Saccharomyces cerevisiae S288C: one gene and its partners. The protein of the gene in region 2 binds, or shares a complex with, the protein of the main gene of each other region. Each region holds a gene or a part of one and is shown on either strand. Other genes may lie near its edges. A codon is read from its position in the direction of its gene.

Region 1 (6,235 bases), on a different chromosome or scaffold from region 2:
ATTACTGAAATACAAGGGTTATACTTTCCCAAAAGTTGGGAGTGAAAACTTGGCGGTGTTGAGACCGAATGACCAACTGAGGACACCTAGTGAGCTACAGGAAGAACAGGAAAGAGCTCAAGCTGCAAAACTAGAAGAGCTGCTAAGAAGCGGCAAGCCCGATGATTTGAAAGAAGCTAATAAACTGATGAAAATTATGGCGGGATTTAAGGATGACACTAAAGTAGCAGTCAAACAAGCAATTAACAATGAACTAAATAAACTCAAAAGAAAAGCTGATTTATTCAACGAAATGTTGACTTCAGCCGATGAGCCTGATCTTGAAAATGAAGCTATTCAAGAATTGTATGGCGACTTAAAATCAGCGCAGCCGAAATTCAAAAAGCTTATTGAGGAAGAACGCGATGACGATGCGCTTGTTAGTAATCTATCAAAATTTAACGATCTAGTGATCCAATTGTTAAAAAGGTACAAGTCAATAAAAGGTATGAAGGAAGAAGAACTAAATGTCCCCGATACGAATGAACCGGCAAAAGAGCTTAATTTGATAGATTTTGATGACGATACAACAGCAAACACTCCATCTGTGACATCTCCAAGCAAATCTTTGCAACCTTTTGACGATCTTTTAGGGGATTTTAATAAGGTAAGTTTATCATCCCCAAAGTCTCCTCAAGAAAACGACACTGTTGTTGATATACTTGGTGACGCTCACTCAAAGTCATCTGGTATAGATTTATTAGATTTTGATTCGCAACCTGGAGAAAGTAAAACCGCTCTGTCCGCATATTCTAACTCGATTGTTCTACCTAATGGTTTACTAAATAGTTCAAGTAACTCCAAGGAAATCACAGCTCAATCGCAAAGACATATACTTAACCAATCGGATCACTTACGCATTGATTACGAATTAACTCGTGAGTCGATGACAAAACTACGATTAGTTATCTTCTATTCAAACATAAGCAGTGATCCAATAACTAATTTTGCACTTTTAGTGGCATCACCTAAAGGCACGACATTGTCTCTGCAACCGCAATCGGGCAATATGCTCCAAAGTAACTCCAGAGATGGTATCAAACAGATTGCTTCCGTAGAGGGTATATCTGTTAATTTAGGTAAGCCCATAAAATTGAAATGGAAGGCTAATTACTGCACCAAGGGTGATTCGAAGGAAGAATCGGGCACGACCAGTTTGCCCACAATATAATCAAATTCGGTAGAGAAGTTGAAAAAAAAGTAGATGCCATATTATATTACAGAGAACAGAGTGTTACGCCAACATACTAAACCAGAGAAGTAAAACGTTTTACTTATATATAATAGTATTCGTAAATTTATAAAAATCAAAAAACCAATATAAGCCTGGTTAAAAAAAAAAAAAGATCAGTATCGTAAAGTCGTAAAGTTAGGTCATTGTTTTTGGAACCTTTGTAAAATCTCCTGTGGAGTTGGTGACTTTATCCTTGGAGCAGAATTAATGTTAGAAATATTGGAAAGAGAAGATTGAGATGGAGATGATTTCGGTGGCGGAGCTTGAGACCCTGGTTGTAGTTGCTGCAGTTGCTGCACATGACTGGACTCCTCCTGTAACTGCTGCCTTTGCTGTTGAATCTGGTGCTGCTTTAGCTGTTGCTGTTGTTCTCTCAAGGTTCTATAATAGTTTTTTGCCGCCTTAAGGGCCATCTCAGGACCAATGTCTGGTTTTTGCTCCAACAACTTCCTCGAGTAACTTTCAATGATATCTTGCTCAGTATACTGTTTCTGGTTTGGTCTTGGAGCCGACGCTTGCCCATTTCTAGCCAAATTTGAAGAAGATTTGCCATTTGAAGGTATTGGACTTTGAGCTCGGGATGAATGTGCCTGCTGACTTTGCTGTTGCCTCTGTTGTAATCTATTTTTCACTGTTCTTCTCAATTGTATATCCCTTCTCAATGCCTCATCTCTTTGGGCTTTCAAAAGCGACATTTCTGCTGGGGTAGGGACCTTCATGTTTTTACAATCTAACGGTTTCCTTGGCTGGGTTGGATTGGGACGCGGCGTATTTTCTCTTTTTTTCATACATTTTCTAATCGCCTCAAACATGCTCGCCCAACGGAGTCTCCTATGACCTCTTTGTATGGATTCTGTATTTACACCTAAAGGCGATATTCTTCTATTCTGTCTCTGCTGAAATTTATGGGCTTCAATCAACCACTGTTGAGCACTATGTGCTCTGGGACCCTTGAGGTCACTAAAATTGAATCGTTCATTTAATTGTACAAAACGCTCAAAACACTGCCATGGCGTTCTACGTTCAATATTCGATAAATAAGAATATGTGAGGCGATGTGTCATATGTGCACTAATCAATTCCCAATTGTAGCCATATGTGTTAATATTTTTGACCAGTTCCTGATCGTCCTCAGACAGCCATATAGTCGGTGTTCTATTTTGAAGATAGCGTAATGAAGGTACTGCTGGTGGTCTTAAATAATGATTTCTTCTATTACCATAGAACATACCCCGCCTTTTGCTCAATTGTGATATTGATGGTTCTTCGTCAATCAATTGACGCTCAAGTAACTTATAAAATCCATTATCATCCAGTGACACTACCGATTTGGAAATTGGAATAAATGGTAAAGAATCATCTTTTTTTGGCCGTTCTTCATTAATACCATTATACAGCGGTAAATCCTGTATTAATGTTTTTTCAAAAGTATTGAGTTCGTCAACAAAGATTGAAAGTTTAAATGGGGGGGCTAGCTCTTTCTTTGATTCTTCGGTTTCGATCAACGCTGATGATGCAGCTACTTCATGTTGTATTAAAACAACTTCGCTTGAGGAGGATGGCTTTTTTAGAAGTAACTTGGTGTCAATAGAAGATATAATTTGATCGTGGGCACCTTCTTGAGATAACAAACCATCTGCAAAATCAAAATCACTCTTAGCTCCTGCTTCATTCTTTCCATTCTCATCATTATCGTTAGCAGCAGCACTTTCTTTTTCAGTAATATCGTCAACGTTCGCAATAATTCCAATGTCATCCTTACCGGCTATGCTAATATCGGAATCATTTCTTGAAGTATCCGATGGTCTACCGGACTTTTCAGATATGCGCCCGTCGTCAGATAATTTATTTTCCTTACCAGGTAGAAGTGTTTTACGTTTTACACAGCATATTTCCCCATAGGTCCAGTAGTCCTTGATTGCCTGTGCCATTGCTGTGCAGATAGCTACTTTATATTTGTGGCCCTCTTTAAAATCTGCTTGCATCCATTTAGCTTCTTCTAAAAGTATGTTTTGATGCGTATTGTGTTGTTTCCACGGATCGATGAATCTTTTAGGTTGTCTTAAAGACCATAATCCAAGTCTTCTTAGTTCTTCTATTCGCGAGCCAACAACAGTAATTCTGGCCTCGTTTAAGGCGTTGTTTATAATATTAGTGGTCAAAGCCTTGTGAGCTCTCGGTATTAGATTAATAAGAGGCAGAGTTTGTGACATGTACTTCAATTCTGCTAAGGGCAAAGCCTGGGGTATTTTCGATGGTATATAATCGTTCATTAATAAAAATACGGTCTCTAATGCGTCAACATTGTTCTCGTTATAATGGTCTGATGTATCTATCTCTTTCGCCATAATGTTCTTTATCAACGGATCCTTGAATTTTACTGCAGGTTGCACCTCAGTGGGATCTGCTGGTGGGTACTCGATGTTCTCATAATAAGTGTAGTGTGCTAATGCATTAGGCACTGGGGGACGCGGCGAAATAGGTAATGAAGCCATTTCCGAATTATTAGAAGATTCCAATGACTGAGATTGCATCTTCTGTCTTTTTTCATGTCGCTCTTCTTCACCTCCCATAGTTGACTCAAGTGGCCTTTTGTTCCACATACCTCCTGTCTTTTCAGCTGGCCTCAAAGAATCCATCATATTTTCACGGATTGAATTATCGTGGCTTGGAACAAAATGACTCTCTGATTTGACTGATACATTTTCGCTATTTTCTGGCAGTTCCCTACTCATTTTAGAATCGGATAGCCTCTGGTTAGGTACATTTATTAAATTTACATCCTTCAATTTCTTTTTTGTTATGGGAGTCGCAGCTGTATGTAGGAGCTTCGGCAGTGACGCCTCGTCAAACCTTATACCCCTTCGTATATCGTTTTTCTTTAAAAATGCATCTATTTCCTTCCGAAGTTTGTTTTCATCTGTTAACTCTAGCAGCTGGTTCAAGCGGGATACGCAGTATAGTTCGGTCAGTTTTCTATCTCTTTCATCAATTAAGTCATCTGCCTTAGGAAATTTACTTCTATCACTGCTCTGGTCCTCACTGAGTGATGCTGAATTAGGCACTGCTGAACTTGGACGTGAGGACATCTTTGAGGCGGAAACTGTACTTTTGATTATGATGTCTCTAAATAATCTTTATATTCTATCTGTTCGGCGGCTAACGCCTACGGGTAATAGCCGGCCTTTGAAAATTTCGCGGCTGCAGCAAGTACGCAAAAATCCTTATCCCTTCTAACGGTTCGAAAGGGGGAAGAACCAGAAATTTTGTAGTTACGCCGCAAATACCTGTATGCCCCGGCTCAAAATGCTCAACACTTATATGCTGACTATGTTCTATAAGGCTCAGGGTGAATGACCTTTCTTGAATTACAATCTGATTTCACTTTGCACAATATATACTATGTATTTTTATTGGAGCACACGACATTAAAAAGATGATCGCCCAGAAAAATTTTCAGCGGTGGCGGATTAATTTTTACTGTCCTCGGCAGCCCAAAATTATCCGTGTAGGATGACATAAAGGCTCAATGGCCGCTGCTGCTTCGTCTGTTAATAATATACAAATTGCACTAACTGTGCAGGGCAGTGATCGCAACTATTTACTTTTCGTAAAATTACCAAGTGGAAATTTCTGTTTCCAATTCATCGATACTTTTGACAAGGCCTTCGTGATCAAGAATCATGTATGAGCTGATAACACCCTTTTTAGCTTCTGATTCGAAGTGAATCTTGGCATATTTTTCAAAAAATCGGTCCTCCTCATGAAAGTAGTCTACTTCATCGGCCTTCACCCTTTTTTTGGATCTTTCGTCTTTGTTTTTATTCCTCTTACCAGAGTCGGTATCATCGTCAGTGTCAAAATTTACTTCATACTTCCTGGTGACGATGATATAGAAGTCATAATGTTTGTCATCGCCAAGTGCCGTGGCAACATCCTCCAACGTAATCTTGTATAAAGGTGGAACGACTTCCGGTGGCATATTAATCAGCCTTTCACTGAGAACCAAAGCACAATTTTTATTACCACTATCAATCATAGTTTTGAAGAAAGTGGAAAGTCTCATGTCCACTTTTTGTAAATATTTGACATAATCACTTAGATGATTAGCTTTGAAATCAACGAATGAAAGAAAACAGTATGGATCAGATTCTTTGCCGTCTGTTTTAATTGTGGTGGTTGGGGAACCTAGGATCAAATCTGCCAAGCTGCTTAGTTGAATCCTGGTACTTTCTTGAGGACCAAATAACTGACGCAGTAAATTCTTTAAAGCATGAAAATCAACTTCTGGGTTACCACCGAAAAAATCGAAGTCAATATTTACGATCTCTTCTTCTCCATTTTGCTCTTCTTCATTTTCTGAATCGGTGCTACTAATGTCAATTTCAGACTCGTCACTGCCATTTTCTTCCTCCACATTTTTTCTCTTCCTATTTTTTAAATCATTTAATTTGATAGCTTGAACCATATTTGTGAGTTAATTAGCAATCCTATGAAAATGTGGGCCTCATGAACAATCTAAATGATAAAATTATAAGGACATAATAGATAATATATTGACAACTCTTTTTCAGATATTTTTTCTACCTCAATCTCATCGCGAGGAATATAGGCACGGAAAGAGAAACTCGTATAAAGTGACCACGGATATCGAGAATTTGATAATTTACCCTTAACTGAAGTTATGGCACAATATCTGTATAAATTTTAATACATAATTTGCGGCAGGAATAACTGCAACAATACTCAAAGTTATTAGTGCTAGCCAGGCGATATTTTACATTAGGCTATTTTATTCCTTTTTCATTTCAATAAAAAAAGATAGTTTTTTTCGTCAACAATAGTTCAATGTCACAAATTGTATTTATTACGTAAAGTCCATCTCATGACAGGTATTCGAGTGTTAATAGTCCAGCACTATTAGAAAATGCATAACATTTGCCTCCAGCGCTCGTTTCATTC
Region 2 (7,375 bases):
CAACCGTAGTTCTTCGTCACTAAACAACGAAAATGTAGACTCGAGATTTCTTTCCAAGGGTCAATCATTTTTAAGCAATGGAAATAATAACATGGGCTTTAAGAGAAACCATATGTCTCAATTCATTTATCCAGTCCAACAGCAGCCGTCTTTAAACCACTTCACTGATCCGAATAACACCACTGTGTTTATCGGAGGATTGTCATCACTGGTGACTGAAGACGAATTACGTGCTTATTTCCAACCTTTTGGCACGATAGTCTATGTCAAAATTCCGGTAGGCAAATGTTGCGGGTTTGTCCAGTATGTTGATCGGCTATCGGCTGAGGCTGCCATTGCTGGGATGCAAGGGTTCCCCATTGCAAATTCAAGAGTTAGACTGTCTTGGGGCAGGTCTGCTAAGCAAACAGCGTTGCTTCAGCAAGCCATGTTAAGTAACTCTTTACAGGTTCAACAACAGCAACCAGGTTTACAGCAACCTAACTACGGATACATTCCATCCAGTACGTGTGAAGCACCTGTTCTGCCAGATAATAATGTTTCATCCACGATGCTTCCTGGATGTCAAATTCTGAATTATTCTAATCCATACGCTAATGCGAATGGATTAGGCTCGAACAATTTCAGTTTCTACAGTAATAATAATGCTACAAATACGCAAGCTACTAGTTTACTGGCTGACACTAGCTCTATGGACCTCTCAGGCACGGGTGGCCAACAAGTTATCATGCAAGGAAGCGAAGCGGTTGTTAACAGCACTAATGCAATGTTAAACCGTTTGGAACAAGGCAGTAATGGTTTTATGTTTGCTTGAGCCACACGTGTATATAAAAATGTTTGTTTTCCTTTTGGCCCTTTTTCTTTCTTGGTATTTTCTTTACTTCAGTGTTAAATTGTATTTGGTCTTAGGCTGACGGTGATATAACAGCGCTTTATTTTCTTTTTTTCATTGCTTTTTATCGTTTTCAAGATTCCATGTCCTTTTATTAAGTCTTTTTTGTATCGTTATAGTTGCGTTTTTCCTTTTGATTTTCATTTCTTTCAAGGTTATTGTTATTCTTAATTCAATTCAAGATTGTACGCTTTTAAGCATGTTTATGATTTTCCTTTATTACTTCCATTTACCTTCTTTCCATCACTACTCATTACGGCCTGTCAATTCCTTTTTTGCGTCACCTTCATTTTTTCTTCTCTGTTCTTTTCTGTATTTGTCGAAAATTTTATATTGATGTATCTTAATTTTATTTTTAGTATTATTATACTGTAAATGTTTCTTACTGTGTCAAGATTTCCCGTTGCGCTATCTTCCAAGACTACGTAATGCGTTTGTCTCTCTATTCATGTTGTCTCTGTATAGGGGCACGGCGAATTCCTACTCCGTGTCTCTTCTCCTATATCTTTACACCAAATTTGGCCCATTTTCATTCCCCTTTACGTAGTAGCGGTTTTCGGCCTGCCGGTGCTACGCGTTTCTATAGCTAGTTTCGTTTTCTCACAAATAAATCCTAGCAGGAGGAAAAGAAAGCGCAGGTTGAAACTCCGTTCAGAAGAAGAAAGCCACTCTTTGAAAATACTGCCCACGCAATTGTCCCTTTCTGACAATAAGACCCCTTACTACTAGTAAATGTTTTTATTCTCTAAGCTTCTTTTCCTCTAACTTCGACGCTAGAGCAGGCACTACCCTGTTGGGCCGTACGTAACAACAACGACCCCTTATTTAGTCGAAGGGATCGCCAGAAACAGGGAGCAAAAGATATTTAAGTGATGAGAATCAATTTCGATGATGATCACAAGCCAATGTTCTTTAAACTCAATTCTTGACTAATAAAAAAGCAGCTATCAACAAATTCATACTTTGAACAAGCTGATAAAAATAAGAAAACCATCGCATACACAAAATAAAATCAACATGTCTACTGTAACCAAATACTTTTACAAGGGTGAAAATACAGATTTGATTGTCTTCGCTGCATCCGAAGAGCTTGTAGACGAATATTTGAAAAATCCATCAATTGGTAAGCTATCTGAAGTTGTCGAACTCTTCGAAGTTTTCACTCCTCAGGACGGTAGGGGTGCCGAGGGTGAGTTGGGCGCTGCCTCCAAGGCCCAAGTGGAAAATGAGTTCGGTAAGGGCAAGAAGATCGAAGAAGTTATCGATTTGATATTGAGAAATGGTAAGCCAAACTCTACCACCTCTAGTCTCAAAACCAAAGGGGGTAACGCCGGAACCAAAGCCTACAATTGAGTAGCTTTTCCTTCTGTCTGGACAGCCTGCATTGAAATATGCAATAAGTTAAATTGGCGTGCTGCCCTGTCATAACGCATGCATTCTTCTTTTACAGTAGTAGAAAGAACAAAAAGGTGTATATTTCAATATACATATTTACGATCTATATAACGTTGTATACATTTAATTCAGTGCATTTTTCATTTTCGCGTTCGTCACACATGATTATTTATACAAAGGAAAAGTAAAATTTTTAGCGATGAGATGTAAAAAGAAATGCGATGCCATAAGCTATACTTTACGATTGAACACCTAAGGAAGAGGTAAAGCAGGCTTAATATATTGAAATACTAAAAAATGGCTCTCGGTAATGAGATAAACATCACAAACAAGCTAAAGAGGCAAGAAATTTTTGCTGATATAAAACATGAAAAAAATAAAGAGCGCCATACCATGAGAAGAAAGAGAGCTAAGGAAGAGAGAGAGAATCCGGAGCTGCGGGAGCAGAGATTAAAAGAGAACGTAACACAGACGATAGAGAACACTAGAGTGTACGATGAGACCATTAACAAGGAAGTGGAGGGAGATGAAGACGATTTGATGAGATACTTCAACAGCAATTCTAATGAGCCACCAAAGATCTTTCTGACCACAAATGTAAACGCTAAGAAGAGCGCTTATGAATTTGCTAACATTTTAATCGAAATTTTACCAAACGTCACATTTGTGAAAAGAAAATTTGGCTACAAATTGAAGGAAATATCTGATATTTGTATAAAAAGGAATTTCACTGACATCGTGATAATCAACGAGGACAAGAAAAAGGTTACTGGCCTAACATTCATACATCTGCCAGAGGGCCCAACTTTTTATTTTAAATTATCATCATTTGTTGAAGTGAAGAAAATTGTCGGTCATGGTAGACCAACTAGCCATATTCCAGAATTGATTCTAAATAATTTCCAGACCAGATTGGGTCAAACAGTAGGTAGGTTGTTTCAGTCCATTTTACCTCAGAATCCTGATATTGAAGGTCGACAAGTTATCACCCTACATAATCAAAGAGATTACATTTTCTTCAGAAGGCATCGGTATGTCTTCAAAGATAATGAAAGGGTTGGTTTGCAAGAACTGGGTCCACAATTTACCCTCAAGTTGAAAAGATTGCAAAGGGGTATTAAGGAAGAAACTGAATGGGAGCATAAACCTGAGATGGACAAAGAAAAGAAAAAGTTTTATTTATAGTGTTCCATTCGTAAACTTTGTATGGATATAATATTAAGACAACCGTAAGAACCGTGGTCGTTTGTTTAACTACGGCGGCTTCTGGTATTACTGAATTTCTCTTTTTTTCATTTTAAATCAATTTATTACAGGTAAATCAATCAAACAAATATATATATATATAGTATACAGAACAAACGGTAATTTCTTTTTTTTTTTTTCGACGTTAGACGTGCTTCGGCAGATATAGTAAGTTGGAAGAAATGAAGAATTGTGAAAGATAAAGGATGGTTTTTTTTTTTATTTTTTTCTAGCTAGATTATCTTCTACCTCCTCTGAAACCACCACGAGATCCGCCACGAGATCCTCCTCTAAATGATCCGCCACGAGATCCACCTCTGAAAGAACTGCCACCACGGCCTCCTCTGAAAGAACTACCACCACGGCCTCCTCTGAAACCTCCTCTGCTACCACCGCGACCCATTGAAGCACCACCACGGCCACCTGGGGCACCACTTCTCTTCTTCTTGTTTTTTGGTTTTGGTGGGCCTACCACCTTAGGCTTAGGTAAAAATCTTTCAATAGGCAATAGTTTGTCAGCGGCAATGTAGAATTTATCACCTTCTTTAAAACTGGTTGCTTGGACACCGTCACCACACTTGATAGTGAAAAATACTTCGTTTAATGGACCCAATATTTCGTCAACTTTACCGACTTGAGTCTTGTTTTCCAAATATATTGGCGCATTGAAATATGGAATCTTAGTGTTGATAGAACGGCAAACAATATCACCCTCACATGGATGTAGAAAAGCTCCCATTTCTAGAACAGTGTCTGGTGGTCCTTGTTGAAATGATCTAGCACTGCCTGTACGTCCACCACGAAAGCCGCCACGGAAGCCGCCACGGCCACCTCTATTACCTCCTCTGAAACTCATTATTTTCTTTTGGTTAAAAATTATCCTCAGGTGATCTTTTGGTAGAAGAGAGCAATCAGATACTCTATCGAAAAGGTGCTCACGTTATAAGGCTAACAAATTAATTTTTTCTTCCTTTCCTCATCTCGAAAAATTTTTCACTACAAAAAATTCCGACGTCAAAGTTTGAAAAAAAGACCATCTGATCACGTGACACCTTTTTCCTGCTCATAAGTTTTAAAAACCGTATGACACATATGCTAATGAAATTAAAATATATAGTATATACCTGAATATGCAGGAATCATATCTTAGTTTGATTCACAAGTATTTGAAAGTACATTCAAAAATGTCAATCGTATATGTCCTTGCTAGCTGATGTCTCGAAATTACTTCTCCTTTTCGAAAAGCACATTGTCAGAATAGCAATCACCGTTTCTGGCTTATGGAATATTATTAGTGTAAATGAGGTCATTCAGTCTCAAAAAGGTATTTTTGTTCAGTTACGTTTTCTTTTCAGTTTGTTTTTTTCCATCTCAATTTTACATTCGGGACAGTACCATGTTCCTTTCGGAGGTTCTTTTAAATTTACACAATCATAATGAAACCATTCATATTTACAGTTGGGTCCATCACATGCAACCATTTCTCCAAACGAAACTCTTTGACAGAAGCAGTATAAAGTTTTGTCCTCTTCCTCGTTTTCAGGGGAACCGTTTTGGCCTTTACCATTTCTACTGTTTTTGAATTCTTTTGTTCTTGCAATCTTCTTTTCAATGCTTGGGCTCACTGGAGTAACAGACTTTTCTCTTGAAGAAACGTCAATTTCATTTTGCAGTTTAGATGTTCGACTAGTTTTTTTCTTTTTCAAAGTGGGTGGAACGGATCCTGAGCTTGATGCAGCTCTTCTCTTTTTCACGCTACTGTTACTCACAACTGAACTTTCTCTAGAGGCTTCAGCAGCGCTATCCATGTCTCCATCTTCTTCCACGGGGGCTAGAACACCATCTTCCTCCAATAAAGCGATGTTTTTTTCCAACTTATTCAAGTGTCTAGCAATTAGAAACAAGGCAGTGTTCGCCAGAACGCATTTTTCTCTTTGCAAAGACTGACATTTCAAAAGTGATTCTTTTATTTCTTTGTCAAGCCCATCTTCCTGTGGATGTTTCGGTATTGAGCCTTGCTGTCTTATAAATTTGTGTATTTGTGATTCTTTTTGCTCGTATTTCTTTTTTTCTTCGATGAGCTTCAAATCATTTGAACCGATCTCCTCTAAGAGGTAACGAAATTCTGATGGGAGGTTGGACACATCTTGTATCGTTTGCTCTAAAACTAAACTTGGATCCATCTTCTATTGGTTATGTTGTCCAATATAAACTTGCATATCCTTCTTCTTTGTTTCTATTTCAACTAACGGTAGGTGGGTTATTCAAGAATCAATTAAAGGAAAATCGGAAAATATCACGTTGTACGTAACAATAAACTTTCTTCTATTTACATGTTTATAAATTGGTTAAACTTAATCTAAATTAATCTAGCATTTGCTAGCTTATTCATATAATTACATTCTATCAACCGGGACTAGTCCCAAAAGCGACATTGCATTGTGTAACACTTGTCTACTTGCTGAATATACGGCGAGTCGCGGTATGGCAATATCTGCAGGTTTTCCGGAAACCCATATTTTTTTATAGCACGAGGAGACCTGATGGCAAACTTTGAATAAATATGTTACAATCGTGGCCGGCTCTTGAGTTTCGAATGCTCGTCTAAGGACATCTGGATACTGCGCTAGCAACCTCACAAGCTCAACTAGTTGTGGTTCATTTAAATTTGAAAAATCTGCGTGTATTAGCATGTCCGTCGTAAAGTCGCTGGAGGTCCTTTCTAAAGATCTAAGTCTGGAATGTGTGTATTGTAAATAGGGCCCTGTGTCACCTTCGAAAGACAACATTCTGTTCCAGTTGAATTCATAGTTATTGATACGCTTTGATTTCATATCTTGAATAATGATAGCAGATACGCCAATTAAATCTGCAACACGCTGTGGATTATCTACCTGAGATATTTTCATTTTGTTATTTTCCATAATTTGCAGAGCTTTATCCCTTGCCTCGTCTAGTATGGTATCTAAGAATACCACATTTCCTTTTCTGGTCGACATGCCCTGCACCATACCAAAATTTATATGCTGCAAGTCTTTTGCCCATTCAAAATTCATTTTTTTTAATATCATAAAAAACTGGGACATGTATAAATCTTGCTGTGAGGAAATCACGTACACCATTTTATCAAAATGTAGATTCTTTTTACGCTCTATGGCTGCCCCTACATCTCTTGTCAAGTACAAAGTTGTTCCGTCTGATTTTTGTACAACAACTCTGCCCAATCTTTTCGACCATTGGGTTAAATCGATGACAAGGGCACCGTCTATTTCTTTAACAAGATTGTTTTTGCGAAATATATCTAAGGCTTCATTCATAGATTCTTTAGACACTTGTGATTCACCGGAGAATATATCAAAATTAATGTTCAAACGTGAATAAGTTTGGATATAGTGGTGGATGGATAACGAGCGAAACCTATTCCATATCTTAATGGCATTCTCATCCCCATTTTCTAAGTTTTTGAAAAAACTACGGGCCTCACCGCTAATCCCACACTTAGAGTTTCCGTTTATCTCTTCCTTGGCAAGGTCCATGTTGATTTTAACGTAGACGTCGAATAAATGCTGAATTGGCTGCTTTTGTAACGTCTTTTCATCGCCGTATCTCTTAAAACCGACTGCTAACAAACCAAACTGTCTGCCCCAGTCTCCTAGGTAGTTCATACGTGTAACGGACCACCCCATTGCTTCATATAAGTTTGAAAGGAATCCACCTATTATAGTCGATCTTAAATGGCCTGCATGGAATGGTTTGGCAATATTTGGTGATGAAAATTCTACTACAACTTTTTTCTGATGACGAGATTTTTTCTGACCATATTTCCCCTTTTGAAGTAATATA
Region 3 (3,605 bases), on a different chromosome or scaffold from region 2:
GGGTCTGTTGGCAAGCTCAATGATCTTTGAATTTACATCGTTAGCCACTTGTTTCTCTAAATTGACACCGTTATCATTCACGTTGCTCTTCTTAACGTGGCCCTTGGACGTTAGTTTAGTTAGAATATTATCTTTGGATGTTGTCATTTCATGCGTTTGAATCAATATTGTTCTTGGACCTTTAATCTTCATAAAGTACGAGTCGACACCATAAATGTATCTTTTTTCGTACTGGTTACGGATCCAACTGCGCATTCTTTTGAAAAATTGAACAGTATGTCCGTAAGCAGATTTTAGCGTTTGGTTCTTAATGAATTTAGGTGCCACCGTATCATTACTTGAATCTCCGACGTACGCGCCTTCCACGTGTAACTCTTGTCTCTCCACTGAATTTGCAATATCCAATTGACTTTGGCCGTTGATGGCCAAAATGTTTCTGGAATTAACCAGAATTTTGTCGCTTTCATCAATTAACTCAATTGAATATACCAACCCACCTCCACATACTAACACATTTCCTCTCCCATTCAGAATTTGAAATTTCCGTGGTAGTTGTGATTTTGATGAGTTCGAGACTAAAGACCTTGCAGAGGGAAAGATAGGCGATTTGATTTCCAGACTGGAGTTCTGTTCAAATGCGATAATTGAATCCTTGCCAAATACATTCCAATCCTTTGTCCCGGTCAAATTCAGTACGGACAAGCTTCTTGAAGAATCGAAAGGTCTTCTCGATGTTTGAAAGTTTGGGGCAGCCAGAATTTCTAAAACGGAGGATCCAATAATTCTATGAAACAATGAAGATTTGAATGAACGAAATTTAATCAGGTTTGACCAAAAATTCAGCCATTTATAGGAAAGGGATAAATGGTTCAAATTGTGAATGGAAACTAGGCAATCCTTTTTGATACAAATTGGAATATCTGGTTGAACAGTGATAGATGCAATTTTACCATTTTCGTCTACTAGCCTGAAACGGGAAGTCGCAATATCCTTGCTTAAGTTCTCGATATATGTCCTTTCTTTAGTTACGACATTACTCTCCGTCTTGGCCGCTTGTGGGCTCAAAAGAGAAATTGATCTCTGCCAAACTCGAGTATTCACCCTTGGGCTTATCATGATGGGTGGATATCCTTTTCTGTGCTTCTGTTTTGTTTATCTGTATCCGTTTATTCGCCAGCCAATAAAATGACTGGGAGCACGGGACCTTTGAAATTTTGCCCTTGTTAGTAAATCGTTATAAAAATACTTATATAGATATTTTATAGAAAATGAAAAATAAAAGAAATAGCCAATATGTAGGTATATCGAACTTAAAGGTCACCTGTCGAAATCATTTCCTTCTTCTCTCTTTTTCTTTTCAATCAGATGTTTTAGAGCGGTCAAGCAACGTAAATACCAACGTGTGCTATCGCATTAGTCGTTTTGTGATTGGCCATGCTGCTGCTTCACGTACGTAGCACTACTTAATGAAAAAATACGATCATTGTTATTGAATGCAGAATCTGCATGGCTGTGGTGTGACTTGGAGAAGGTATCAAACCCTTTTATGATGTTACCAGAATAGTGTGATTTTGACCCATGGGCTCCCCCATGACCTGAATGGTTGTTATTACTATTGTGTGAGAAATACTCGGTCTCTTTATCATATATCTCTTGTTGTAAGTTGTCAAAGGTATCTTCTTGCTCTCTTCTATCTTGGAGGGACTTTTTTAGTTCCGCTTTCAATGCTTCATAACTTTTCAGCTCATCAGTCATTTTCTTCTAGGCGTAGGTTGGTAACAAACGGAAAGATGATGGAAAATGGCTGTTCTCTAAAGATGTTTATCTTACGTATATTCTTTGCTTTCGTTGTGGCTTTACACACCTTTAATCATTAATTTAATGGCATAGTCGGCAAGTTGTTGAAGGACCTGGGTTAATCGCCTACATGTGAGGTTTTTTTAAAAATATCAATTACATTTAAAAAAGGAAAGCAGTAGTACCAAAAATCGGGCAAAAAAAATTTACCTAAATAAAGGAATGCATAAATGAAGCCGTTTAATCTTTGTATTTAATGAGAATATTACATATGAAGGTCTCTTGAGAAAGCATCAATAGTGGACATTAGCTACCTTTTAAATAAATGAACGGGTATGTCACCCATGGGTTCAAACTCTTCATCATCCTCGTCTTCACTGCGTACTTCATCGTATTCGTAACCCAAATTTTCTTTTATGTAATAGTGATCTTTCTTACTTTTCCTCTTTTCCAAAAGGTCATCGAATTCGTCCTCTTCCATATTCATTTGATTGAATTTGTTAAGTATTCTTTGTAAGAATGGTGTGTTCTCCCCAGCAGTTGCCGTGGTATTAGCATTCTTCATAGTATTCCTTGGGGGTAGCAAGGGAGGACCCGATGTTGGAGTTGATTCTGAACTACGGCTTGGAGCAATATTTTGCATACGTTGTGACCGATTAGGCGGAGGGTTCGGTTTACGATTGGGTAGAGTGTTATTTATGTTGCTATTAACATTATTATTGGGCTTACTAAAAAAATCGTTTATACTCTTTTTTCCCTTGAGCATATTTGGTGAATTATTTACGTCCACAAATGTCTGTTGAATTCTTTTGGTAAAAGTAGAGAGGTATTCACTTGGGTTCTGGTTACCTAATTTCTGTTGTCCATTTCGGGGCAGTGTATCTTTGAACTGTAACTCTAATTGTTTTAATTCTTTTTGGGCGACCTCTAATTTGAAACTAAGTTCATTGATTTCTCTGTGTTTTGCAGCTAATTTATATATTAAATCTTGGTCTGTTGAAATCGGACTTGCGTGGTCGCTCACGGGTGACTGATTTGTCGTAGATCTTTGCGGACTTGATATAGGTATAGCAAGTCTTTTGGGCTTTAAAGGTGTCGTAACCCTTGGTGATTTTGATTCAGGCTGCACTTCATGTTGTTTTTGATGCGGCTGTTGCTGCTGTCCTTGGGAGTGTTTATCGACAATCGACAGCTTATGTAATTCAATTGGTTGACTAATTACACGCTGGTCTTCTGACATTACTTTAGGGCGTATGTATGGATGTATTTTGTATTGCTTTTGGCTAGTTAGTAGTATTCCTCAATCGTATTGTTTTTGATTTTGAAAAAGCTAACGATAAAGGTCAGGAAAAAAAAAGAAAATTGTATGTAAAGGAATGTCTGGAGAGAGTTACACAGGAACAGAAAGGTCCAGCAACGGTTTCTACAACCAATCATGGATGTTGATATAGGATGTTATTTTGAAGAGAAACGCTATGACGACAAACTGTTAGACTTCATCAGATATGACGTTAAAACACCTAAAAAGACTAAATATATACTACAAAGGCCTACGGCGACAGATGAAGAGAGTGTACGATTACAAAGGTTTTACCAATTAGGAGTAGATCTAAAATTGAAGTATTCCAAGCGGAGGTCATTGAAGAAGCAAGGGCGGATCAAGAATGCTACTGAGGAATTGCTGCGATTAGCCAATGAACAGTTGAAACTTTTCAACAGAATAGTAGAAAGAGAAACCAATTGGATAATTTATCCGCTGTGGGTAATGGCTAAACAATTAATTCGTCTGGCAAACGAATCTAGTGAAC

What was found. The genes of interacting proteins can lie anywhere in the genome.
Region 1: YNG2 (region 2) and EAF1 share a complex: the UniProt entries of both Saccharomyces cerevisiae proteins name them as parts of the nuA4 histone acetyltransferase complex.
Region 3: the proteins of YNG2 (region 2) and EAF6 are in contact, whole or in part, in a crystal structure (PDB 5J9T), measured with the Saccharomyces cerevisiae proteins. Residues at the interface, in NP_011958.1 of Saccharomyces cerevisiae: Ile11 (codon at 5,685), Val14 (codon at 5,676), Leu17 (codon at 5,667), Pro18 (codon at 5,664), Phe21 (codon at 5,655), Arg22 (codon at 5,652), Leu25 (codon at 5,643), Ile28 (codon at 5,634), Gly29 (codon at 5,631), Asp32 (codon at 5,622), Leu33 (codon at 5,619), Ile36 (codon at 5,610), Lys40 (codon at 5,598); in NP_012615.3 of Saccharomyces cerevisiae: Ile69 (codon at 1,551), Ile70 (codon at 1,548), Gly72 (codon at 1,542), Phe73 (codon at 1,539), Asp74 (codon at 1,536), Asp92 (codon at 1,482), Ile94 (codon at 1,476), Phe95 (codon at 1,473), Leu97 (codon at 1,467), Ser98 (codon at 1,464), Ser99 (codon at 1,461), Ala100 (codon at 1,458), Thr101 (codon at 1,455), Lys104 (codon at 1,446).

What each region holds. Positions count from the first base shown.
Region 1 is NC_001136.10:1,190,523-1,196,757, forward strand, and holds EAF1 (Eaf1p), read right to left. Parts: upstream 4,363-6,235; coding exon 1,414-4,362; downstream 1-1,413. Other genes in the region: GGA1 (ubiquitin-binding protein), read left to right, coding at 1-1,210; protein-transporting protein BCP1, read right to left, coding at 4,890-5,741; transcription factor TFIIIC subunit TFC6, read right to left, coding at 6,157-6,235. UniProt on the Saccharomyces cerevisiae protein: Component of the NuA4 histone acetyltransferase complex which is involved in transcriptional activation of selected genes principally by acetylation of nucleosomal histone H4 and H2A. The NuA4 complex is also involved in DNA repair.
Region 2 is NC_001140.6:278,911-286,285, forward strand, and holds YNG2 (histone acetyltransferase YNG2), read right to left. Parts: upstream 5,716-7,375; coding exon 4,867-5,715; downstream 1-4,866. Other genes in the region: NAM8 (Nam8p), read left to right, coding at 1-814; YHR086W-A (uncharacterized protein), read left to right, coding at 1,321-1,482; RTC3 (Rtc3p), read left to right, coding at 1,910-2,245; rRNA-binding ribosome biosynthesis protein RPF1, read left to right, coding at 2,585-3,472; H/ACA snoRNP pseudouridylase subunit GAR1, read right to left, coding at 3,771-4,388; arginine--tRNA ligase MSR1, read right to left, coding at 5,929-7,375. UniProt on the Saccharomyces cerevisiae protein: Component of the NuA4 histone acetyltransferase complex which is involved in transcriptional activation of selected genes principally by acetylation of nucleosomal histone H4 and H2A. The NuA4 complex is also involved in DNA repair.
Region 3 is NC_001142.9:580,501-584,105, forward strand, and holds EAF6 (Eaf6p), read right to left. Parts: upstream 1,756-3,605; coding exon 1,414-1,755; downstream 1-1,413. Other genes in the region: YJR079W (uncharacterized protein), read left to right, coding at 553-739; AIM24 (Aim24p), read right to left, coding at 1-1,116; ACF4 (Acf4p), read right to left, coding at 2,108-3,037; YJR084W (uncharacterized protein), read left to right, coding at 3,233-3,605. UniProt on the Saccharomyces cerevisiae protein: Component of the NuA4 histone acetyltransferase complex which is involved in transcriptional activation of selected genes principally by acetylation of nucleosomal histone H4 and H2A. The NuA4 complex is also involved in DNA repair.